Linked DNA regions of Cricetulus griseus. The protein of the gene in region 1 purifies or fractionates together with the protein of each later gene. This does not show direct contact. Links are inferred from orthologs where the notes say so. Each region holds a gene or a part of one and is shown in the gene's direction. Other genes may lie near its edges.

Region 1 (3,500 bases):
TGACAAAATCCCTTCCCTTGCTTGTCCATCCTTTGGACACTGGTTGGCTTTTCCACGGCTGAGGTCAGTCCCCAAGACCTAAAGCCAGTCCAGAAAAAGGTTTATCAAGAACAGTGAGGCTTCCCAAGATAGCCTTGAATCTCAGGCTGCCACTCCTCCTTGCTTTGTGAGGACAGTCTTAGGAAATGCTGTTAGGTGTGTTGATTTTTCCTTATTTGGCCAAATGTTAACTGGCCACTTGCAACCCCTCTGGTTTTTCTAAGAGTTTAGCAAAATTGCAGATGTATGATAAAAGCCTGCTCACTGTGCCTCCTTTCTACAGTGAACTCTGTATGCTGGGCCCCTCATGATTATGGCCTGATTTTGGCCTGTGGGAGCTCGGATGGGGCCATCTCCCTGCTGACCTATACAGGGGAAGGCCAATGGGAAGTGAAGAAGATTAACAACGCTCACACGGTGAGTCCAACCCCTACCTTTTGCATGGAGGAGAGCATAGTTGCTGTGCTTAAGTCTTCTGTGCTCCCAGGAGGAGACTGAGAATCCTTGCTGAGAAGTGGCTATAGGTTAGGTACTGCTGGAGCCTCTTTACTCTGAGGGACAGCAGCTGCACCAGCCTTCTCCGTCCAAGGCAGAGGTGGCACTGGTTTCTCCTAGTAAGCCCCCAGGTTGGGGGTAGAAGTGTGGGGGCCTTCAACTACTATAGAAGCTTGGCTACAGAAGCCTCAGGCTGACATGCATTAGGGGTTCCCAGAACTCAGTGGTGTTTTAAAGACTGGCCTAGAGATCAAGTTCCCTGTGCTTTCTAGCACTTGGACCTTAAGATTGAAATAGTCTAGAAAGCATTGTGGAAAGTGGAAACTCACATTTCTTGAGCCCCTAACTGGATGTCTCATAATTCTCAAACACAGTTGTACATGAAAGAACAAACTAGCAAATACTAATTTTTCAGGGTTTGCCTAGGGAGGGGTGGAGTTGGTGTGTCAAACCTTCATTCATTTTTCCTGTCTGATAATGGGCATGTTCAGTTTTTATTAGTAAATGTTGCTATGAATGTTATGGGTATGTTTTTGTATCTCTGTTTCAAATTCCCTTGGGTATATATCTTTCTGTAAATAGCTGGGTCATCTGGCAATTTCATGTTTACCTTTTTGCTTTTCAATTAGTATATAATCATTGTGCAAAATTACAATTTGGGACATTTTCATACATGCATATCATATAGTTAGATCACATTCACCTGTTACCCTCTCATCTCCCAACAGTCCACGAGTCCTCTTCCCAAATAGTACCTCGTCTATTATCATGTCTTGGTTTTCTTTTTGGTTAGTTTTTTTGCTTGTTTTTTTTTTTTTTTTTTTTTGAGATAGGGTTTCTCTGTGTAGCTCTGGCTATCCTGGAACTCTCTGTAGACTAGGCTGTTCTTGAACTCACTGCCTCTGCCTCCTGAGTGCTGGGATTAAAGGCGTGTGCCACCACCACCTGGCTTGTTTATGTCTATTCCATATGTGATAGTTGTCCTTCTGAGTGAGGTTTATTTCACTTAACATGATGACCTTTAGTTCCATTCATTTTCTGCAAATGAAATAATTTCATTCTTCCGTGGCAGAATGAAGCTCCCTCCATTGTGTATCGAGGCCCCGTTTTCCTTGGTCATTTTCTCTGGTGGTGTACAGAGGGCTGGCTCCAGTTTTTAGCTGCTGTCAATAATGCAGCAATAAACATGGATGGTTGAGTTATTCCTGTGCTGTGCTGACTCAGAGTCCTCTAGATAGACAGATAGATAGATAGGTAGGTAGGTAGGTAGGTAGGTAGGTAGGTAGGTAGGTATGTATACAAGTCACAGAGCAGAACCCTGTTGGAGTTCTTTTCTGTAGTGGCTGTACTAATTTACATACACCCCCACCACCTTCACTGTGTAAGCGTTCTTTCTCCCACCTCATCCATCCTGGAATTTGCTGCTGTTTTCTTGATGGCTGCTTTGCCTAGGGAGGGGTGGAGTTGGTGTGCTTTTGTTTATATTTCTTGAGTAACTAGACAAACATTGTTTCATGTATTGCATTTTTACTGATCCTTTTGAGAACTGCTCAGTTTATCTGCCATTTATTGATTGAATTATTTAGATCTTTCACAAGTGCCCTTATCCACCAAGCCATCCTCCAGCCCTTGTACAGCTTTAAATATTGTCACTGTTTTATAGCCTTGACATTTTACCTAGTCATAGAAAGTTTCTTCTGTGGCCATTCCTATTTGTGGTTTAAATGCATCTTACACTTGAGCCCATTGCTTTTTTTTGGGGGGGGGGGGAATTAGTAAAGTTTTTTGCTGTGATTACATTGGGTAGTGTTTCACTGCTTTTAGTTTTGATCTTAACTCCTCCTACCCCATAAATTCTTAATCTTTTAATCATGTCCTGGAATTGATTGAATTTGGGGTTACACTTGATTGATTTCTGTTTGAGCCGCTGAAGTGAGTTACATCCAGAATTTTGTTGGTCCTTGTTGCAAATCAGTCTGTTTCTTTGTTTCTGTAGTGTAATGTATGCATGTGTACGTGTTCATATGCATGTGAAGACACGAGGTCAATGTGTGATGTCTTCCTCTATCACCGCCCGTCTACCTTATTTTTTGAGACGGTCTCACTGAAACTAAAACTCATTGATTTGACTAGACAGTGCCAGGGATCCTCCTGTCCCTACCCCCTAATACTACAAGTGTGCAAGCACACATCATCATGCCTGTTTTGTTGTTATTGTTTCCTTTTGGTTTTTCAAGACAGGGATTTTCTGGGTGGCCCTGGCTGTCCTAGAACTCACTCTGTAAACCAGGCTGGCCTCGAACTCAGAGATCCGCCTGCCTCTGCCTCCTGAATGCTGGGATTAAAGGTATGCGCCACCACCACCTGGCCCATTCCTGTTTTTTAATTCAGTTTTCCTTCATTGCAGCAAGCACTTTACTTACTGAACCACCTTCCCAGCCCTAGTCTGTATCTTAACTAGTGAATTGAGATAATTTACATTGGGAAACTGAGGTAGGAAGGAGGGAAGCTCTGCCACCAAACAAAAGAAAATTAAATATATAAGCCAATGATCAGGGTTACCATGAAAAGTCATTATTTGGTCATCTAGTTGTTTTGACTCCTCTTTGATGGTGTCTTCTCTAGCTCATATTTATATTAGTTTTTTTGTTTTGGTTTTTTTGTTTGTTTGCTATTTCTCATTTTCATGTGTACTTTTCTAGTGGGATTTATTCTCCCATGGGCAATCCATGGGTAATCTTTCTTTCCTCTCTGGTACAGGACCTCCCCACCACCACCACCACCATCATTCACAAGGCTAGTCTTGTAGCCAAGTTCCCTTGGATTATGCTCTTAGCTGAAGCTCTTCATTTCTACTTTGAGACTGTACTATAGTCCTTTATTTTCTTTGAGGACTTAACACTGCCCTCCTGGCCTGTAGGGTTTTTGCTGAGAAATCTATTGGTCTAATAGTTTGCCTTTAAGGT
Region 2 (4,129 bases), on another chromosome or scaffold:
GGAAAGGTAGTATGCACGCTTGTTTTCTGAGCACAGTCCTGCTCCTCTGTGAGACCTCAATAACGAGACAGGTCTGATTTCTAGAACATGCCCACTCCTCTGCTCTTAGCTAGATCCCAGGAGGAAACAGACACCAAAAGGATGAAAACGCAACTTTGACCAACACCAGGGGAGGGAGGAGTCTAAGAATAGAAAAATAAGATACAAAGTAACAAGTCCTGATAAGAGGACCGCCCAGGCATCACCCCAACTTGTTGAGGTTAGCAAATGCGTCCTGGAGAAGGCAGTACATTTGCACCCAATCCATCCAGAACAGCACAGGTTCTGAAGCTGCAGCTGAAGCAGAACCCTCATTGGGATCAAGCCTTATAATAGACCATTGCTCAGATCTACCTTAGAGATTCAGAGGAAAGGATGTGAGAAGACTTGCTTGGACCGGCAAGAACAACAGTGGGGACTGAGGGTCTCTGAAGGGCTGCTGATAAGCCACATGGATTGATAGGTATCCCAAAAGGGTTTTCAAGCTCCGAAAGTGCCAGCTGGGTGGCCTGAGAGCCTGCCCATCATTACCCGCAGACTTGAACTAAAGAAGGGTAGAACAGTTACCATGTCATCCTTGGGCCTTCCCTCTGATTGGCCGGAGCTTCCGTAGCCCGAGTCTCCGCGCTCCAAGGAAAGGGGCGGGGTCTCGGCACAACGTCACCGCTTTTTGGTGCTCACTATTCTAGCCACTCCCCAGCCCTCTTCGAGGGGCCGTGTGTGACGTCGCGAGTCTCTATCAGCCAACCGTCGCGGCAAAAGGGGTGGGACTCCAGGTCCCTCCCCACCATCCCTCTTTTTTTTTTTTTTTCTCCCCACCCAATTCCTCACGCCCCTCCTCTTCCCCTCTACTCCTTCTCAGAGACCGCCTTCACGTTCGGTTTCAAAAGGCTCGTCGCCCAATGAGTAACACGGTAGGCCTCGAGTGGCGGAACGGCCTGCCAATGCCCGGCTGGCGAGGGCGGAACGCCCGGGGCTGGCCTCTGACGGCGGACGGCGTGTGACGCAGTCGGGCCTCTGCGCGCTGCGCCCGAAGCGGCGGTCGGTGGCGGCGGCGGCCTCGGCGGCGGCGACGGTTTCCTGGTGGCCGCGCGCTGCTCTGTGAGCGGCGGGTGGCAGACGGACCTGGGCCCTCACCCCAGACGCACCGCGGTAAGTCGGGAGTGCTGCTGGGGCCGGGCGGGCGGGTCCTCTTCTTTGGACCGGCATCTGCGCGGGACGCCCCGGGCCCTCAGCCTCCCAGTCTCGTGCGGGGCGCGCTCCTTCGGGCCTGCGTGAGGGGGCGGGGCCCGCGGCCCTGCGGCTTGGCTCGGGAGGCCCTGGGAGGGAGTCCACACGCGTGGGGCGTAGGCCAGGGGGCCTCGGGTGGCAGCCCACGCTGAGGGAACCTCGTTGTCTCCGGTGCTACTCATTCATTCGCTGGGTAGAGGTGAGCAGCCCGCGGTAGGCTGGCCCTTGCGGGGATGGTGCCTTGGGGACTCAGTGAGGTCCCCCCCCCCATCACTTCTTTGACCACTCTACAGTACGCGTCTTGTCTAGGGTTAACCAGAGGGTTGAGTGAGTCGGAAGTGCGTTAGCTTTTTAAGACATTGTCTGGCGATTGGAGGGGTCTGGTCAACCGAATGAAAGGTTCTTTTCTGTTCTGCCGCATGTTCGTGTAAACCGAGGTGAGAAAGATTGGATTCTTGAATTACTGTAGCCATAGCGTTTAAGACATTCTATGTCAATGCCCCCATTCTGCATCACGTGCAGAGGTTTTGTAAGGTGGGAGAGGACTCAGTAATGGCAGATGTCTTGACTCAAGCCTAGAATTTTTATACTATTCCACCCTCCCTGTATGTTCCAGTCTCTCATTATTGGCTGTTCTGTATTTGGTAGGGGGAAGGAAACGGACATTTGACATAGTGTTCAAAACATTTCCATTTAGGTGCTACCATTTTTGCTTATATAGTAAGATAATAGAACTTTATTAGTATTACCTCGATGTAAACTTTTGGGGAGCTCGGGGAGACAAGATCTCATTCAAATCCTGGTTGATCTGGAATTCACTATGTAGGTTTGCCACGAAACCAAAGAAACCACTTGCCTCTACCTCCTCGGTGCTGGGATTAAAGGTCTTTGCCATTACAACCAGCCCTAACCTAGACTTTTGAGAACTAAACTTTAAAAATAGTTCAAGAGGCAGGCTTAGTGATGCACGCCTTTCATCCCAATACTTGAGAGGCAAAGGCAGGCGGCTCTCTCTGAGTTCAAGGCTAGCCTACTCTACATACTGAGTTCCAGGACAGCCAGAGCTGCACATAGAGACACTGCCCAAAAAAACCCAGGCGTTGGGGGTGAGTAAACCCAATATAGGGGCTGCTGGAGAGACCCCTCAGCAGTTATGAACACTGACTGCTCTTCCAGAGGAGCTGTGTCAATTCCCAGCACCCACATGGCAGCTGTCTGTGACTCCCAAGTTCTGACACCCTCACATAGACATAGATGAAGGCAAAACATCAATTCATATAAAACAAAAATAATTTTTTTTTTTTTTTTTTTTGGTTTTTCGAGACACGGTTTCTCTGTATAGCTTTGGAGCCTATCCTGGCACGCTCTGGAGACCAGGCTGGCCTCAAATTCACAGAGATCTGCCTGCCTCTGCCTCCCAAGTGCTGGAATTAAAGGTGTGCGCCACCAACGCCCAGCTTAAATTATTTTTAAAAAGTCAATATAGATGTGGTGTTGCAAGCCTGTAGTGTCACCAGTAATGGAAGTTGAGGGTGGAGAACTAGAGCCCAGGAGTTTGAAGCCAGCCTGGACAACATAGAAGATCCATCTCATTTAAGAATTGTGGAGGGCAGCCAGGCGTTGGTGGCTCACGCCTTTAATCCCAGCACTCGGGAGGCTAGAGGCAGGCAGATCTCTGTGAGTTCAAGGCCAAGCCTGGTCTACAAAGCTACACAGAGAAACCCCACCTCGAAAAACAAAACAACAACAAAAAGGATTTCACGAAATTAGTTGTCAGTTTGATTTGAACATACTTATCAGCTTGTAGATTTGATGTTTATATAAACAGTAAAACCTAAAAGCAAGTAATTCAAGAGAACAGAGGAGTTCTGTGGTATAAATATTAAAAGTTGTGACCTGGTGTTTTTTTGTACTATTTTATCTGTTTGGACATCACAACCTGGGAAACTTTTCCTGGTATGCTTTCCTATGTAAGCTTTCACACACTTCCTTACTGATACTTCTGCTTGTAGCACACATTTTATATTTCAAGTGTTTGTCTTTTTATTAGGTTATGATAAAATTTATATTTTTTGGTCTTTCTGAATGTCCTTAAACCCAGCACTTCATGCTGGACGGTAGTGGCGCACGCCTTTAATACCAGCACTCGGGAGGCAGAGGCAGGCTGTCTCTGTGAGTTCGAGACCAGCCTGCTCTACAAGAGCGAGCTCCAGGACAGCCTCCAAAGCCACAGAGAAACCCTGTCTCAAAAACAAACAAACAAATAAAACCCCATCACTTCAGAGGCAGAGGTATGTGGCTCTCTGGCTTTTTGTTCAGTCTGGTTTGTAAAGCAAGTTCCAGGCCAGTCAGGACTACAATATGAGACTCTGCCTCAAACATAAAATAACATGTATATTAATTTGTATTTAGGTTACATGGCTCATCGGCCTCAGTTATATTTTTGTGAATGAATAAATACAGAAAAATTAAACTGAAAAATATTCCAGAAAAAAGGCTAGATATTTGTGTACTTCTGAAATACTTTTTTTTTTTCTTTCTTTCTTTTTTTTTTGTAGCCACTAGCTCCTAGGTATCTAAGAATAACTAAACTTTTACAGCACGCACCAAATTCACAGATTAGGAAAGTAAGTTATTTATTGTCATATTACTGTGTACTAGCAGTCTAGGACATAGAGTATTGTAATATTGATTAATTTCTAGTAAGAGACTTTGTAAAATTCTGAGATTATTATAATCTGTAAATCAATGAGTATGGTGGCATGTGCTTTTAATCTCAGCACTGGGGAGGCAGAGGCAGGTGGATCTCTGAGTTTGAGGCAAGCCTGATTTACAAAATGAGTTCCAGGACAGCCAGAGT
Region 3 (3,986 bases), on another chromosome or scaffold:
ATCTCCTTGCTTCCAAAAGCTGCTGTAGAGTACCAATATGCCCACCCAACCCGATGGCTTTGACTTTCAAGATAAACAGAGCAAGGGTGAGAAAAGTGTGGGCAGTTACAATCTCAAAATACTCATTAAGGTAGTAAATCGTCAAGGAAAATATGATTGCTGGGGTAGAATTATCGAACTGCCCACTTTTACGGTTCTGATGGAGTTGCCAAGGAAAATGTTCAGCTGTAAATGTGGATCGAAGTCGTGGCCAGTTTTATCTATTTACTCATTTTTTTTCACAGACAAAGTCTCACTTTGTAGCCCCAGGTGGCTTTGAATGAGCAATCCATCTGCCTCAACATACAGAGTGCTGAGAGGTCCCAGGGAAGAATAAATAGCAATTCTTTTGCACGTTTGCAAATTGACTGGCACTTTGGTAATCTCAGGAGGTTGCAGCATAATGCTTAATTCAACATGTTCGACCCCTGTTGGTCATTGTGGCACGTGCCTGTAATCCTAGCACTTGGGAGGCTGAGACAAGAGGATCAGAGCTGGAGGCCAACCGGGGCTAAAAGGGGAGTTGCTATCCCAAAACATGCTTGTATACGAGGATGTGTAAAAAAGTCTCCCAAAGCTGGGCGTTGGTGGCGCACGCCTTTAATCCCAGCACTCGGGAGGCAGAGGCAGGCGGATATCTGTGAGTTCGAGGCCAGCCTGGTCTCCAGAGGAAGTGCTAGGATAGGCTCCAAAGCTACACAGAGAAACCCTGTCTCCAAACACCAAACCAAAAAAAAAAAGTCTCGCAAAAATGCCAACACAAAAGGTCTGTCTTCCATGCACTTTTACTCCGTTTCGCTAAACGATGAAGAGACAGGGTGACAACTTACTCGCCGACAATGAACCGAGGGGAGGTGACCGCAAGTGGCTCTGGCTAAGGACACTGGCCTCCTAGGGCCGCCCGCCCGCGCCAGCTTTTCAAAAGGGAAACACATACAGCCCCGCCCCTGCTCGAGGCCGCCGGGAAAGGGCGCCGCCGCTGTCGCCGCCGCCGTCTGTGGTGACCGCAGGTCGAGGCGTCTTCCTCCCTCCTCAGACTCATTCTCGTCGTGAAAACCCGCGGCTGACCGTCAGAGCCGCAGCCCTCAGCCAGCGACAGTCACAAAGACAGCGCAATAACTCAAACCGGGCTCTACGCTCCCGGAAGTGACGACAACAACGCGACCCGCCCTTGTCCCGTCGGGCCTAGCGGCGACGGCGGGAAGATGGCGGCGGCGGGATCCCTGGAACGGAGCTTCGTGGAGCTGAGCGGAGCTGAACGCGAAAGGCCCAGGCACTTTCGGGAATTCACAGCCTGTGGCATTGGTACGGAAAGGGCTTGGGGGGATGGGGGCTATCGCTTCCCTTCGGGCCCCTCGAGTGCGACTTTGGCCTCCTCCCTGGTTGAGCCAAGTCCACATGCCCAAAGCCTGTGCATCACAGCCTGACTTCTTTCTCCTTTCCCCGCATCCTATTGTATACATTGTCAGCCGCTTGCACTCTGCTTCCTCAGCACTCTTCAGTGCCTGTCATCCCCAGAGAACCACGTGTGCAAGCTGACCACATTCATTTTGCAGGGACTGCAAACGCTGTGTTTGGAGCGGTGAAATACAGTGAGAGCGCGGGAGGCTTCTATTATGTGGAAAGTGGCAAGTTGTTCTCCGTCACCAGAAACAGGTTCATTCATTGGTGAGTGCTGCGTTTCCCCATCCCCCTGGAAGGTAGGGTTGTTTGGTATATGAATATTCATGCCTGTTCTACATTATTACTTCTGGCAATAATCTACACATAGGACTAAAGAACGACTGTTAGTTCACGTCAGAATCGGTTCTAGGAGAGGTGTTCTCCTAGCAGTATAAAAACAAAGGAATGTAGTTGACATAACAACATTGAAGGCCCATTTTAGACACTAAGTTACAATGTCAATATAGTCTTTGAAGCTCCATTCTGCTGATGAGATTGAGTTTGTACATGTCATACATGGTGCTGAGTACTGGGAAATGGTGCAAGACATTGTAGTTATGTAAGGATAGAAATATAGTAGATGCCACTTTTGTTGGGTCAGTTTCGCATACAAAAAAGACACTAAACTAATAATATAAGCATATAAAATGTATGGACAATGAGAAGCTAATGGGACAATCAGATGCTGTTGGCCAAGGAGGGTATAGAAAGCCACAGTTAGATCCAAATGATCAAAAAAAAGTTAGCTAGACGTGGATGTAGCTAGGCAAAGAAGGATCCAGTAGATACCAGGGAGGAGAACTGGATTAGAGGGGAATCCAGGGAACAAAGAATCTGAATATCAAAGAAGGACTGAAAGAAAAAGGGTGAATGCATGAAGAAAGCACGTGGGAAAGCTAAGGTCAGTGTTTTAACTGAAGGAATCTTGGTTTTGGAGGCAAGTATGGTTGCTGGTTGGTAAGGTGATGGGAAGGTAGACTCCTACACCTTGGAGGAACCTTCTCACTTCTTAGCTTAGGTCTGGCCTTGTTTAAGCAAAATATGTGTCTTATTAGGGTTTCTATTGGTGTGAAGAGGGCTCAATATCAACTCTTATAAAGGAAAGCGTTTAACTGGGGCTTGCTTACAGGTTCAGAGGTTTAGTCCATTGTCATCATGATGGCACACAGGCAGACATGGTGCTAGAAAGGTAGCTGAGAGATCTATATCTGTGTCAGCAGGCAGCAAGAAAAAAGAATAAGCCACTGGGCCTGGCTTGAGCTTTTGAAACCTCAGTGACACACTTCCTTCAACAAAGCCACACCTCCTAATACCACTCCCTAAGCATTCAAATATATGAATCTATGGGGGCCATTTTTACTCAAACCACCACAGTATGTATTATCATTTCTTTAGTTGTATTCTTATTTTATGTGCATTGGTTTTGCTTGCATGTCTGTGTGAGAGTGTCAGACCCCTGGAATTGTAGTTACAAGACAGTTGTGAGCTGCCCTGTGGGTGCTGGAAATTGAAGCTGGGTCGACTGCAAGAGCAGCTAATGCTCTTAATTACTGAGCGATCTCTCCAGCCCCCCATCTCGGTGTTTTCTTGTATACTGCTTTAAACTATTTCCTGCTATGTTTCCTATCCCTCGGCAAGGATCAATAGATTTTTTTACAACTTTTACTCTAAGAATAGAAAAGCCTAGATTCATTCATAGCATTTTTTTTTCTTTCCTCTATTGTGGGTAAAATCAGTCAGCTGAGTCAAAACAACACCACAATTTACATGTACCAAAGATGACAGTCCCAAGAGTAAAGGCTGAATTTCAATAAAAGGAGTCAAGGTGAGAAACTTTTAGGTGGCATTTCTTCTGTCATTAGTCAGGGTAACAATTAAAATAAAGAAAACTCCTTTAATCCCAGCACTCGGAGTTTGAGGCCAGCCTGGTCTACCGAGCGAGTTCCAGGACAACCTCCAAAGCTACACAGAGAAACTGTCTCGAAAAACCAATAATAACAATAACAACAATAATAATAATAATAACAATAAAGAAAACTGCAGGGAGCTACTTGAAAGAAGTCAAATAAATTGGAGAAAGAAAATGAAGATAATTTGAAATGATAAAGCTCAAAAATGCTTTATAAATAGAACATTAAAAACATTTTTTTTTTTTTTGTTTAAAAAGGGAAGTTTATGTGTATGAGTGTTTTGCCTGCATGTATTTATGTGCACCACATGTATACATGGTGCCCTTGGAAACCAGGAAGAGATTGTCTGGATCCCTGGAACTGGAGTAATGGGTGGTTGTGAGCTGCCTTGTGGGTGCTGGGGATCAAACCTGGATCTTCTGAAAGAACAGCAGGTGTTCTTAATCATTGTGCCATCCTTCCAGCCTGGCTCTGGTCCTGAACTGATCTATTCTTGCCTTTGGTCTGTGACTCACCCCTAAGAGGTCCTACCACATCTTGATAGTGTCCTGAAGACTAAATCTTTAACATATTCAAGATCTAAACTAGCATGTT
Region 4 (4,095 bases), on another chromosome or scaffold:
GCTGGGGTTGCTGCTTCTCCTTAGGAACCTAGGACTAAGTTTACCATGTGTTCTCCTGTGTTTAAAGAGATTGGGAACCTGGCTCTCAAAAGACAAATGTTAGCTTTACAAAGTGACCCACACAGCGCCACGTCAGACAGGCTGAAGCTGGCCTTCGGAGCTCGCGCGGCTCTGCTTGCGTGGCTGAGCGCTGGCCAGCTCCACCACACTCCCTCCTCCTCCTGGGTCCTCCACTGGTCAGGCTGCCTCGCAGGCGCGGCACCTTTGTGTCCTCTGGAATAAAGGTGAAGGGGCCGGGCCTGGTCACTTCCTAGATGACAACACCCACCTTTTCCAGAGAGCCTCTGCACCGACAGACGCAGCCTGACCTGCGGATGTCCCTGGTCTAAGAGGTCCAGCGCTCAGCCCGGGGCTTGAGGCCACGTCCCACCGGGAGGAGTCGTGAGGGAGGTTAGAGGACCGAGCCATCTGGCTCCGGCTCCTCTCCTTTGGCCGACGCCAGCGGGTGGCATGAGCGCGCCCGGCAGCCCCAGGCCAAAACAGCAGCCGGGAGAACCGCACCCGGCAGGCTGCAGGAGAAAGCCGTAACCAAGCAACGGATGCGGCCCGGCGCACGCGCTTGTCCAACCCGTAGAAGGTGACAACCAAGCCACTCGCGCGAGCAGGGTGACGCACGCGCAATCACCCCTCGGCGTCCAGGGGTATCCAACGGAAAAATGGGGAGGGAGAGGGCAGCAGGGCCCTCTGGGGCTTTGGACTCAGCAGACCTGACGGCTTCGGTCTTTCCAGACTGTTTCTCCCTGGGGGTCTCAGTCGAAGAACCCTGACTGGTCAAATCCTAAAACAGGAAGCCTGCAGGACAGAACCGGCGTAACCAGGGCGACGTCGGGAGGCGGGGCCCGCGCTCCGGGCCGGACAGGTGGGCGAGGGGCGGGGCCACAGGGTGTAGCTATAAAGGACTGACGCGAGGGGGCGGGACCTATGGGGGTGGGGCGAAGGAACGAGGCTGCGAAAGACTGGACAAGAACGAGGGGCGGAGTCAAGAGGGGCATGACGAAAGGGAGCGCTAAAGAAAAGGCGGGGCCATGGAGCGGGACAAAATGATGAAGGAGCGAAAAACTGGACGAGACGGGACCGAGTCAAAAAGGGGCGTGGCGAGATTGAGGCGCTGACGAACCAGTTCGGAGCAATGCCAAGGGGGCAGGACATTGGGGGCGGGGCAAGGGGGTGAGGCCGCCAAAGACTGGGCGAGGGCGAGAGGCGGGGCGATTCAGGGGCGTGGCGCGCGCTGACGTAGCCGTCGGACACGTCGGCGGCGGCGGCGACCGGAGCCGGATGTGCCAAGATGGCTGCGGCTGCTGCTGAGTACGCGGTAGTTCCCCGTACTGCCGTCGCTGTCGCCGGCTGGGTTTCAGTCCCCGGCGCCTGAGAGGCCAGCTGCAGCTGCGCGGGTGAGGGCTGAGCGTGTGGATCACGGCGGAGGCCCGTGGGCGGGCGAGGCTGTGGAGGCCGGGTAGGCGCAGGAGCACCGGGCCTAGCCCGGAGTGGCGAGCGCATCTCCAGAGACGCCGCCAGGTCTGGGGAGAACCACAGTACCGGGCCGCCTGGTGCTGAGACACCGGACAGGCCACGGACCGCGTCGCCTTGGTGGGTTGTCCCGGGGGCCCGCGGGAACTGGTCGGCCACTAGGGAAGGTGTTAGCCCGGCCAGACCGTGACGCCTCAGGAGAAACCTGCAACTTCTTTAAAACGAAGGAAGGTGCAGGAAATTGTCGAGCATGACTTCTGCTGGGTACTGAAGATTTTTGATTCTCGTTGGATCCGCAGAGCTGGGATACATTTTCATTTGAACCAGCATTTATTTGTAATCCCTTGGCTGGCAGAGCAGGAAGGGAGGTCGTGAGTGTTTTCTGTCAAGGTGTAGAAGGGTGTCGGCATGGACACTAAGTCCTGTAGAATCAACTCTGGCTGCTTTGCTTACACACATTTTTGAGTGGCTTGTAAAGTGGTCGTACACTGGTGGAGATTTCCTTTCAAATATGTTAACTATAGGCGTCTTCCATCCTGAGTATGGCAGTAAGAAACAGCAGACTCACGGATTACTATCCCTGCGGGTCCTATTGCAAGTTACAGCACAGCGCAACCTCCTTGCACTTTTTCTCCACAAAGTCTTTCCTAGGGTTTCAGTGCTTATGTTTTGCAAATAAGAGGCAAAGCAGGAATTGGTTCTTCTTTGAGTCATTACTCTTGGTGGCATTTACCTGAGTGAATCTCCAAATTGCCCTTGGAATTTTTTTTCTGAGATGCTGTGCAGAGTTTGATATCCTCTCTTGCTTTTGTAATCGTTTGTGAATATCATTGTGTCCTCGTGTGTCTTCCTCACTTAGTGTATAGCCCTTCCTTTTCTGTGGATGCCCTGTTCAACATTTCAAAGGTTGAGGTTCAGATTTTGACTTAGAAAAGGTGTTTATCTTGTCTATCCATTAAGTGTATCACTAGCAGTCACTATGGGAGAAATTGTTGGCCGAGTGGAACTCACTACTGTTTTTGGGGGTGTGCCCCTATGGTTACAGTTTACAGTTGTTAAGCCAGTGGCAGTAAGATGAGGGGATGTGTTTTAAACACCTCAGTTACACAGAATGTCATGCGTAGATATGTATGTAAATATGAAGCAGTTGAGGTCTCTCTGAAACAGGTGCTTTTTTTGAAAAGCAGATAACTGGCTGAACAGAATAAAAGTGTACATAATCCTGAGATAAATGTTATGCAGTTCATTATCTTTCTGTTGGTGAGTAAACAAAAGTAAAAGAGTAATGTTCCCTGGCTGGTGGTGGTGCACACCTTTAATTCCAGCACTTAGGAGGTAGAGGCAGGTGAATCTCTGTGAGTTCAAGACCAGTCTGCTCTACAGAGCTAGTTCCAGGAGAGGTAGGGCCATAAAGAGAAACCCTGTCTCAACCCCTGCCCTCCCCCCAAAAGAATCATGTTCAATTCACAAGATTGTTCCACCTGAAACAGGCATATTGTGAAAAGTTCTGGGCATGGGAGCTGGGGGTTTTCTTTGTAGGTGATAGTGTTAGCTCATAAAACAGCTCTTGGTCTATTGTTATTGAGAAAATAATTCCAAATTTCTACAAACAAAAGTATAAATTTAGGCAATTTAGATTCTGGTAGGCAGCAATAGGGACTAGACCCTTTAAAGAAGAATCTTTAGGTAGAATCTTAAGAGTAAATTTGGAAGAAACTTTAGGAAAAAGAAACTTATTCTCTCATTTTGTGGATGTAGAAACTTAGTTGCAGAGAGAGGTAGTTGCCCTGAGCTGCTCAATGTATACCCAACCTGCTGATAGCTGATATATCAGCCCTGTACAGTGTATTGTACTTTAGTTTTTGTTTGTTTGTTTTTAATTGTTTTTGGTGTTTGAAAATCTTGAAATGAAGGGTAGCCTCTTCTGCCTTTTACACTTGCCAACCAGGTTTCAGGAGGAACATGGAAATTTTTGTTAGCTGGCTCCAGATCCATGTTATTGTGTCCATAGTAGTTCTGCGCTCTCCTACTTTTGGTTTGTGTAAAGTGAAACAGCAATGTTCTTTCTAACTTAAAACAAGAAGAGCCTAATGAACTCCTGGCATTACTTCTAATTGAAGTTCTGTTGTAATCCATATGACGGTTCTAGTCAGATAGGAGTCTCTATTCACATAGAAAGGAGTATATGTGGGCAGTAATGGAACTGAGTTAATAGATTAATAGAACTAACATTTAGGTAGGGATTAGAGGCCTTTTGTAAATGGCTTTACTTAAAATATATCTTTTTTTATTTTAATCTAAGTATCAGAAAGATGTTCAAGAACAAAGTGTACATCTCTGAATTAAACGGCCTTTGCTTTGTTTTTCTGTGGATTAGCTAAGCAATTTTTTTTTTTTTTTGAGGGTGGTGCCAGGAAGAAGGTCTGACAAAAGAAAAGGGCTTTCAAGGTGCCAGACTTGAATTATGCCTTGTTCAAAAACAAAAAAACACTGGTGAGGATCATGCCCCTCCCCCTTTTTTTCCTGAGGTTTGTTGGGATCTGCCTGTTGGAAATATGAGTCTAGCAA
Region 5 (3,500 bases), on another chromosome or scaffold:
CTGTGCCTGTCTGGTTTCTCAGAACCTCAGGCCATTCAGACCCTGCCCCTTGATTGACGATTCACCCAAGCAGCTTGTGCCTTTCTTGCTAGATCCTTGCTTGACAAAAGCCACTGGGTCTTGCTCTGCTCCACTCACTGGGAATAAGCCGACCAAAAATGCTCTTCCCGGCACTTTGTAATCACTGCGTGCTTGAACCTCACCCTCCTGCTCCACCTTCAATAGACCCGCTCTTCCACCTGCCGCAAAGCTGCTTTTTCATTCACTGATGGCTCTGCCTTCCATTCAATACCAACCATTGGTCTCTGGTGGGGTTATCCACTTCTGACCATTGCCCTGCACGTGAGGCTTCCTTTCTGGAGCATGGTCCTTTCCTCCCCTCTGGCTTTTCTCGAAGTCCTGGTAGCTGGGGACTGTGTGTCTCTTGAGCTCAGAGCCCTTGGTCCCCACATTTCAGTGACGCCTCACTGGGAGGCCTGTGCCTGTCTCAAAATCAACCCTGTCTGAATTCCTGGGATGCTAGGAATTGCAGACCCTTGGGTCTTACTTCTCTGCCTCACTCATGGGAGCTGTGTCATCGTCTATACCTCCTTGCTCCCACTGGAATGTTTTTTGGAGAGTCACTGACCATTATTTATTATATATACAATGTTCTGCCTGCATGTATCCCTGCAGGCCAGAAGAGAGTGTCAGATCTCATTACAGATGGTTGTGAGCCACCATGTGGGTCCTGGGAATTGAACTCAGGACCTCTGGAAGTGCAGCCAGTGCTCTTAACCTCTGAACCATCTCTCCAGCTCCCACTGACCATTCTTAATCAGCCATTGTGGCAGCACTACCAGCTGTTGGCCATAGAACTGGAGGCACAAGATTATCAAACATGACCAGGTGATGGTGTGGTGATGGGAAAGGCACCTGATGGTCCCTTTCCAAAGGGCCCTGCCTACATCCATCCTTCTCTCTTTCTTTCTCTCCCCTCCCCCTCATCCCCCTCTTTCCCCTTCCCCCTCTGTCACACTTTCTTCTCTCCTGCTGCTCCTGTCCCTGGAGCCAGTCTCCCCCCTCCTCTTTCCCCTTTTTATGATCCCTTTCCCTAATAAAAACCCTCTGCTTGAACCCTGTAGCGTGGCGTCTTTCTCTCCCACACTGCTTTTCTTAAGTTAAAACAAGATGGTCCTGCCTTGCAGAGACAGAGGACTGACTTGTAAGCTCCTTGCTTTTTCCTTCCCAGTTGCAGGAGATTAAACCCCTCTGCAGTCAGGTTTTCTGCTTTAACATCAGTGTCTGTACTTTGAGTAAAGTGGAACTTGCTGCAGATGAAGCCGGGGTCTTTGTGTGTGACATGAGTCTCTCCCCTCAGCTGGTCCTCTCCTCCTCCATCTTCTTGACTGGGTCCGACTGCACGTGTGTGAGGTAGACAGTTTATCGGCAGATGTTCTGGGCAGTGAGAACCCAAGCAAACATGAGAGCTTCTGGAACTTGGTGAGTATAACGTGGGCAGCCCCCTCCTTCCTTCTGCCTTGCATTCTGCATCCTGGTGCTGTCAGGTGGCTATAGAATGACGACTGCTCCAGGCCTTGGCTCGGCTCTTTTGAGTTTCTGATCCTAGCAGCGGTTTTACATCTTTCTTTGTCTGCTGCAGAGTAGTTTCAAACTAATTTAGCATGAAGGGTAACACTTGCTGTTGGAAAGGAAGTTTGATTTGTTTATAGAGCTGAGGAAGAGAAGGTAAGATGGTCAAAGTGGTTGATGGGGACTAAGGTGGGGATGGAGTGCAGATGAGCACAGTGGCTGTTCTGAGGTAGACTGCTTAGGGCCGTAATGTAAATAGCAGATACTTACATTAGGATTTATAACTGTAGCTCGGGGTGGTGGTGGCAGCGCACGCCTTTAATCCCGGCACTCGAGAGGCAGGGGCAGGCAGATCTCTGTGAGTTCAAGACCAGTCTGGTCTACAAGAGCTAGTTCCAGGACAGCCTCCAAAGCCACAGAGAAACCCTGCCTCAAAAACAAACAAACAAACAAACAAGGATTCATAACAGTAGCAAAATACAGTTATGAAGTAGCAATGAAGTAATTTTATGGCTGGGGTTCCAGCATTAGTAAGATTGAGAACCACCGATCAGGGGCTTGTGGCATCCTAGAATACCTGCCGGCATCTTCGAGATCACAATCTCTAGCATCACCAAAAGAAAAAGAATATCCTTGGTTGTTTTATTTTTGGTTGTTGTTGCTGTTGGTTTTTTGTTGTTTTTTGTTTTCCTTTGAGACAGGGTTTCTTTGCTGTGTGTGTTTGTCTGTCCTGGAACTCTCTGTAGACCAGGCTGGCCTTGACACCTTGACTCACAGAGATCCCTACCTCCTGAGTACTGGGATTAAAGGCTGTGACACCACTGCCTGTCTGCTTTGGGTTTTGAGACAAGGTCTCCTTATGTAGCCCTACTGGTCTGGAATTTTTGTTGTTGTTGTTTTTGACAGGTTTGGGTGGCGTGGTTGCCTATGTTCCCAGTGATGTGGTGCTGGGGATGGCCACCAGCCTAACTCTTAAGTTCAGTGAGAGATCCTGTCTCTAGGGACTAAGTCATAAGTGCTGATCACCTGATAGTCCTCTGGCCTCCTCATGGTACACAACTGTACACACACACACACACACACACACACACACACACACACACACACACACACACACACACACGGGTGTTAAAACATTTAAAGTTGGTTGCCAGCTATCTTTAAACTGACAGTTTGCTAAAGGAGTCATATCTTAGGGTTGTTATTCTTGTGATGAAATACAATGGCCAAAAGCAACTTGGGGAGGTAAGGGCTTAATTTACATAGCCCAGAGTAATAGTGCATTGAGAGAAGCCAAGGCAGGAACTTAGACTGAGTAAGATCCTGGAGACAGGAGCTGAGGCAGAGGCCATAGAGGGGTGCTGCTTGCTGGCTTGCTCCTTATGGCTTGCTCTGCCTGCTGTCATACAGAACTCAGGACCACCATCCCAGGGATGGCCCCACCTACCATGGGCTGGGCCCTCCCAAATAAATGACTAATTGAGAAAATGCTTTCCACCTACCTACAGCCTGATGCTATGGAGGCATTTTCTTGGTTGAGGTTCTAGCCTCTCTGATGACTGTAGCCCATGTCAAGCTACTTTAAAATCAGCCAGCACAGGGTATGACTGGGAGTCACTGCTGGAAGGGAGGAGTTCTTGCTGACTCGGGTCAAGGGCAGCCTGGAGGCATCAGCACTTTGGAGTAGCGAGCCTTCTGCTGGGGGCTCTTGGCTCCCATCTCTTTGCAGGTGACTGTCTTGGTGCTTCAGGGCCGGTTGGATGAGGCACGACAAATGCTGTCCAAAGAAGCTGATGCCAACCCCTCCTGTGCAAGCATGTGCCGCATCCTTGGGGACCTGATGAGGACAATGCCCATTCTCAGTGTATGTGGGAGCCTCCTTGCCTGCCCGGCCTTGGGAGATAGGGATCAGGGAACGTGTAGGTCTG
Region 6 (3,500 bases), on another chromosome or scaffold:
CCCCTGACTCAGTCTTCCTGATCCCTCTTGTTCTCCTCCCCGCTTGTCTTCTCCCATTCTCTTTTTCCTACCTCCCTCCCCTCTCCATGCTCCCAATTTGCTCAGGAGTTCTTGTCCCTTTCCCCTTCTTTGGGGGACCATGTATTTCTCTCTTAGGGTCCTCCTTGTTTCCTAGTTTTCCTGGTGGTGTGGATTGTAAGCTGGCAGTCCTTTGCTCTATGTCTAATATGAGTGAGTACATATCATGTTTGTTTTTTTGTGACTGGATTACCTCACTCGGGATGCTTTCTTCCAATTCCATCCATCTGCCTGCGAATTTCAAGATTTCATTGTTTTTTTTTTTCTGCTAAGTAATATCCATTGTGTAAATGTACCACATTTTCTCCATCCATTCTTCGGTTGAGGGGCATCTAGGTTGCTTCCAGGTTCTGGCTATTACAAACAATGCTGCTATAAACATAGTTGAGCATATGTACTTGTTGTATGAATGTGCATCCTTTGGGTACATGCCTAAGAGTGGAATTGCTGGATCTTGAAGTAGACTGATTCCCACTTTCCTGAGAAACCACCATATTGATTTCCAAAGTGGCCGCACAAGTTTGCACTCCCACCAGCAATGGAGGAGTGTTCCCCTTTCTCCACATCCTCTCCAGCATTAACCGACATTGGTGTTTTTGACCTTAGCCATTCTGGAAGGTGTAAAATGGTGTCTCAGAGTTGTTTTGATTTGCATTTCCCTGATGGCTAAGGGAAGTTCATCATTTAGGGAAGTCATGACAGCAGGAGGCTGCTGGTCACATTGCATCTTTGTTCAGTAAGCAGAGTGTGATAAGTGCCAATGCTCGACTCACTTTCCTTTAGTGATTACCTTTAGTGTAATCCAGGCCCAGCCCATGGAGTGATGCCACCCAGGGATATCCCCACTTCAACTGGCCTAATCTGGGTGGGTGATCACTCTGAGGTGTGTCTCCCAGGCAGTTCTATGCCCTGTCAAGTTGACAATCGTTATTAACTGTCACATCATATGTGACAGCATTTTATAAGCCAACCCTGTCATTCAGGAGTTGAAAATGGCAGAAATATCAATCTAAAGATCCACCTGAGTCCTTTTCAAATTGTATGACCACCCGTAGATTTACAGCAGTACATATGCTACAGAGGAATCCAGTGTCCTTTGGTGGAACAGCATGTCACTGAGTCACAGCAAAGCCCAGATCTCCTGGACTGGCTAAGCCAATTTTAAGAGGTCAGATCCCAACAGGACTCTGCCTTAGACAACTGATGGTACAGGGGGAAGAAGACATAAGAGTCAAATTGAGTTTACCCATATCATCACAAAGCATTCCCACTAATATGTATATTCGTATCCCGGAATCCCTCATCCTATAATTCAAGAGAAGGTCTTACAACTAGCAGGGAGAAGTGTTCTCTCTCTTCTACCTCAGTCTATCTTTGGAAACATTCTGTTAGTAACACATGCTTTCTTTCCCAGTGAAGGGTTCTGTGTGCTAGCAATATAGCTTTAAAGAGAGAAGATTGCATTTTTTTACAACTTGATTTTAAAATATTTTTCAAATTTTATAGCCAACAGAAGTCGAATTATCAACAGTATACATGCTTCATTTGCATCTCCAGCATCATCAGCCTCTTGTTTCAGCATCTGCAAGCTTTGGAAGGTCGCTCCCATCCTTGCCAGGATTAGCCTTTTCCTTTCGATATTTTGTGCAGGCCTTTGTAAGCTTGGGACCTGACTTTGCAGGAGCAAGGTTAGCAGATAATGATGTGGTTCTTCTCTGTGGCTTGCCCTTATTTCCTTTAGTATCTATGTCAGCTTTTCCTTTAGACATTATAGAGATAAGACATAGGTGGTAAACTTGAGGACACAGTGGTACCCAGCATTAGTCCATCTTATAGTGGCTATCCTCGCATCTCCATTTCAAAAATAAGAGAGCTACCAGTCACATAGCAGTCACTCAGTTTTAAGTGTAAGAAACAGCCACCTTTCTATCCAGACCTGTCTGTCTTCTTTGGCTGTTCCATGCTGCCTTCTATTTGTCAATGGAAAAATGTAAATTGCATAGAAATGTCAATATAAATCACTTGTCAAAGTATAACATAATGGCCTTTCCTAAGTTAAAGGTAGCTTTTCCTACACTATTAATATTGATCTTTCTACTGACAAAGCTGATACCCTAAAATTTAATGTAACTTTTTTGTGTCTTTTTGCCAATTTCCTCTGTAGTGTTTTTGTATTTGATACCATTTCATAACCTCTCATTTCCTATGCATTTGACTTGTTTGTGGTGTGTGTGTGTGTGTGTGTGTGTGTGTGTGTGTGTGTGTGTGTGTGTGTGTGTGTGTGTTTATGACATTGAACCTCTGCTTCTTTCTCAAACTTAGCTAATGAGATGACATGGAGTTCCCTTCTTCCCCTGTGTTACAGCTGATGGTTGCAGAGAAGAATGGAATGATCCGGTTTTATGATCTAATGGCCCAACAAGCAATTTTATCTCTTCAATCAGAACAGACACCGTTAATGTCAGCACACTGGTGCTTGAAAAACACCTTCAAAGTTGGTGCTGTGGCCGGAAATGATTGGATTATTTGGGATATCACTCGGTCCAGGTAGTTATTTAGTGTATCTGTCTGTTACATTACATAAATCTGTTGTTAAATGATCCATTGGGCCATTTTTGTACTAGGCCTCCATGTGCAATGAAAACAAGTCTCTCCTGTAGAAGGGCAAGTAGTTCTAGGAATGTTAGAAAAGAAGAAAAATGCTGACCCTTTGGTGGCCTAGAGTAGTTCTGAGTGATGTCGGTTGTTTTCTGTCTATCTCCATTTGAGTGCTTATTGGAATCTTGTGGCAGCTTAAATTTATTGGACTTCAAAGAGAAAACACCTTTAAAACCTTTAAGTTCACCTACTTGAATCTAACACATAATTTGCAAAATGCAAACTCTTGTTTTATAGTTATCCTCAAGAGACAAGACCTGTTCACATGGATCGAGCACACTTATTTAGGTAATGTACTAGTTTACTGGAGCTGTGTGAATCCTTGATATGATGGTATGTCCCTAGCAGAATAATTCCCCAGCCCTCCCCTTTGCATTGGAGTTTGTCTGCTTGCTTCATAAGGGTTATCTTCCTTTCCCTACTGCATAGTTGCTTACTCTTTTGCTTTAGGCAGGCTGGAAATCTACTTTTCACACATGCCTTTAATACCAGCACTAGGGAGGCAGAGACAGTTGGATCTCTGTGAGTTCAAGGCCAGCCTGGTTTACTTAACAAGTTCCAGGATAGCCTCCAAAGCTACAAAGAAAAAAAAAAGAAAGAAAGAAAATGGTTATCATTCACAGAGAACATGTAGCCAGTCTACTAATACTACCTCAATGTTGGAATGGATTATGCTTCGTCCTTGTTCTGTGCTAATAAATACAAATATACATAGACCTATATTTACATACAAAGATCACTGTATTTTAAACAAGGCCATGCCA

What was found.
Region 2: the proteins of Sec13 (region 1) and Nup98 purify together in Homo sapiens (affinity purification with mass spectrometry; 4 studies listed by BioGRID and IntAct, counting the BioPlex papers as one, with this or other methods). This does not show direct contact. The link is inferred for Cricetulus griseus from reciprocal best matches to the Homo sapiens genes SEC13 and NUP98.
Region 3: the proteins of Sec13 (region 1) and Nup160 purify together in Homo sapiens (affinity purification with mass spectrometry; 4 studies listed by BioGRID and IntAct, counting the BioPlex papers as one, with this or other methods). This does not show direct contact. The link is inferred for Cricetulus griseus from reciprocal best matches to the Homo sapiens genes SEC13 and NUP160.
Region 4: the proteins of Sec13 (region 1) and Sec16a purify together in Homo sapiens (co-immunoprecipitation; 4 studies listed by BioGRID and IntAct, counting the BioPlex papers as one, with this or other methods). This does not show direct contact. The link is inferred for Cricetulus griseus from reciprocal best matches to the Homo sapiens genes SEC13 and SEC16A.
Region 5: the proteins of Sec13 (region 1) and Nup85 purify together in Homo sapiens (affinity purification with mass spectrometry; 5 studies listed by BioGRID and IntAct, counting the BioPlex papers as one, with this or other methods). This does not show direct contact. The link is inferred for Cricetulus griseus from reciprocal best matches to the Homo sapiens genes SEC13 and NUP85.
Region 6: the proteins of Sec13 (region 1) and Nup37 purify together in Homo sapiens (affinity purification with mass spectrometry; 5 studies listed by BioGRID and IntAct, counting the BioPlex papers as one, with this or other methods). This does not show direct contact. The link is inferred for Cricetulus griseus from reciprocal best matches to the Homo sapiens genes SEC13 and NUP37.

What each region holds. Positions count from the first base shown.
Region 1 is NC_048601.1:31,064,201-31,067,700, forward strand, and holds part of Sec13 (protein SEC13 homolog), read left to right. Parts: intron 1-322; coding exon 323-456; intron 457-3,500. UniProt on the Homo sapiens protein: Functions as a component of the nuclear pore complex (NPC) and the COPII coat. At the endoplasmic reticulum, SEC13 is involved in the biogenesis of COPII-coated vesicles.
Region 2 is NC_048596.1:97,176,051-97,180,179, forward strand, and holds the start of Nup98 (nuclear pore complex protein Nup98-Nup96), read left to right. Parts: upstream 1-1,329; 5' UTR 1,330-1,468; intron 1,469-1,559; exon of another isoform or gene 1,560-1,706; intron 1,707-4,129. UniProt on the Homo sapiens protein: Plays a role in the nuclear pore complex (NPC) assembly and/or maintenance. NUP98 and NUP96 are involved in the bidirectional transport across the NPC. May anchor NUP153 and TPR to the NPC.
Region 3 is NC_048599.1:86,090,450-86,094,435, reverse strand, and holds the start of Nup160 (nuclear pore complex protein Nup160), read left to right. Parts: upstream 1-1,186; 5' UTR 1,187-1,244; coding exon 1,245-1,344; intron 1,345-1,595; coding exon 1,596-1,707; intron 1,708-3,986. UniProt on the Homo sapiens protein: Functions as a component of the nuclear pore complex (NPC). Involved in poly(A)+ RNA transport.
Region 4 is NC_048599.1:137,833,481-137,837,575, reverse strand, and holds the start of Sec16a (protein transport protein Sec16A), read left to right. Parts: upstream 1-1,295; 5' UTR 1,296-1,451; intron 1,452-3,909; exon of another isoform or gene 3,910-4,020; intron 4,021-4,095. UniProt on the Homo sapiens protein: Acts as a molecular scaffold that plays a key role in the organization of the endoplasmic reticulum exit sites (ERES), also known as transitional endoplasmic reticulum (tER).
Region 5 is NC_048600.1:128,167,608-128,171,107, forward strand, and holds part of Nup85 (nuclear pore complex protein Nup85), read left to right. Parts: intron 1-1,360; coding exon 1,361-1,482; intron 1,483-3,301; coding exon 3,302-3,436; intron 3,437-3,500. UniProt on the Homo sapiens protein: Essential component of the nuclear pore complex (NPC) that seems to be required for NPC assembly and maintenance. As part of the NPC Nup107-160 subcomplex plays a role in RNA export and in tethering NUP96/Nup98 and NUP153 to the nucleus.
Region 6 is NW_023276806.1:154,185,360-154,188,859, forward strand, and holds part of Nup37 (nucleoporin Nup37), read left to right. Parts: intron 1-2,443; coding exon 2,444-2,625; intron 2,626-2,973; coding exon 2,974-3,024; intron 3,025-3,500. UniProt on the Homo sapiens protein: Component of the Nup107-160 subcomplex of the nuclear pore complex (NPC). The Nup107-160 subcomplex is required for the assembly of a functional NPC.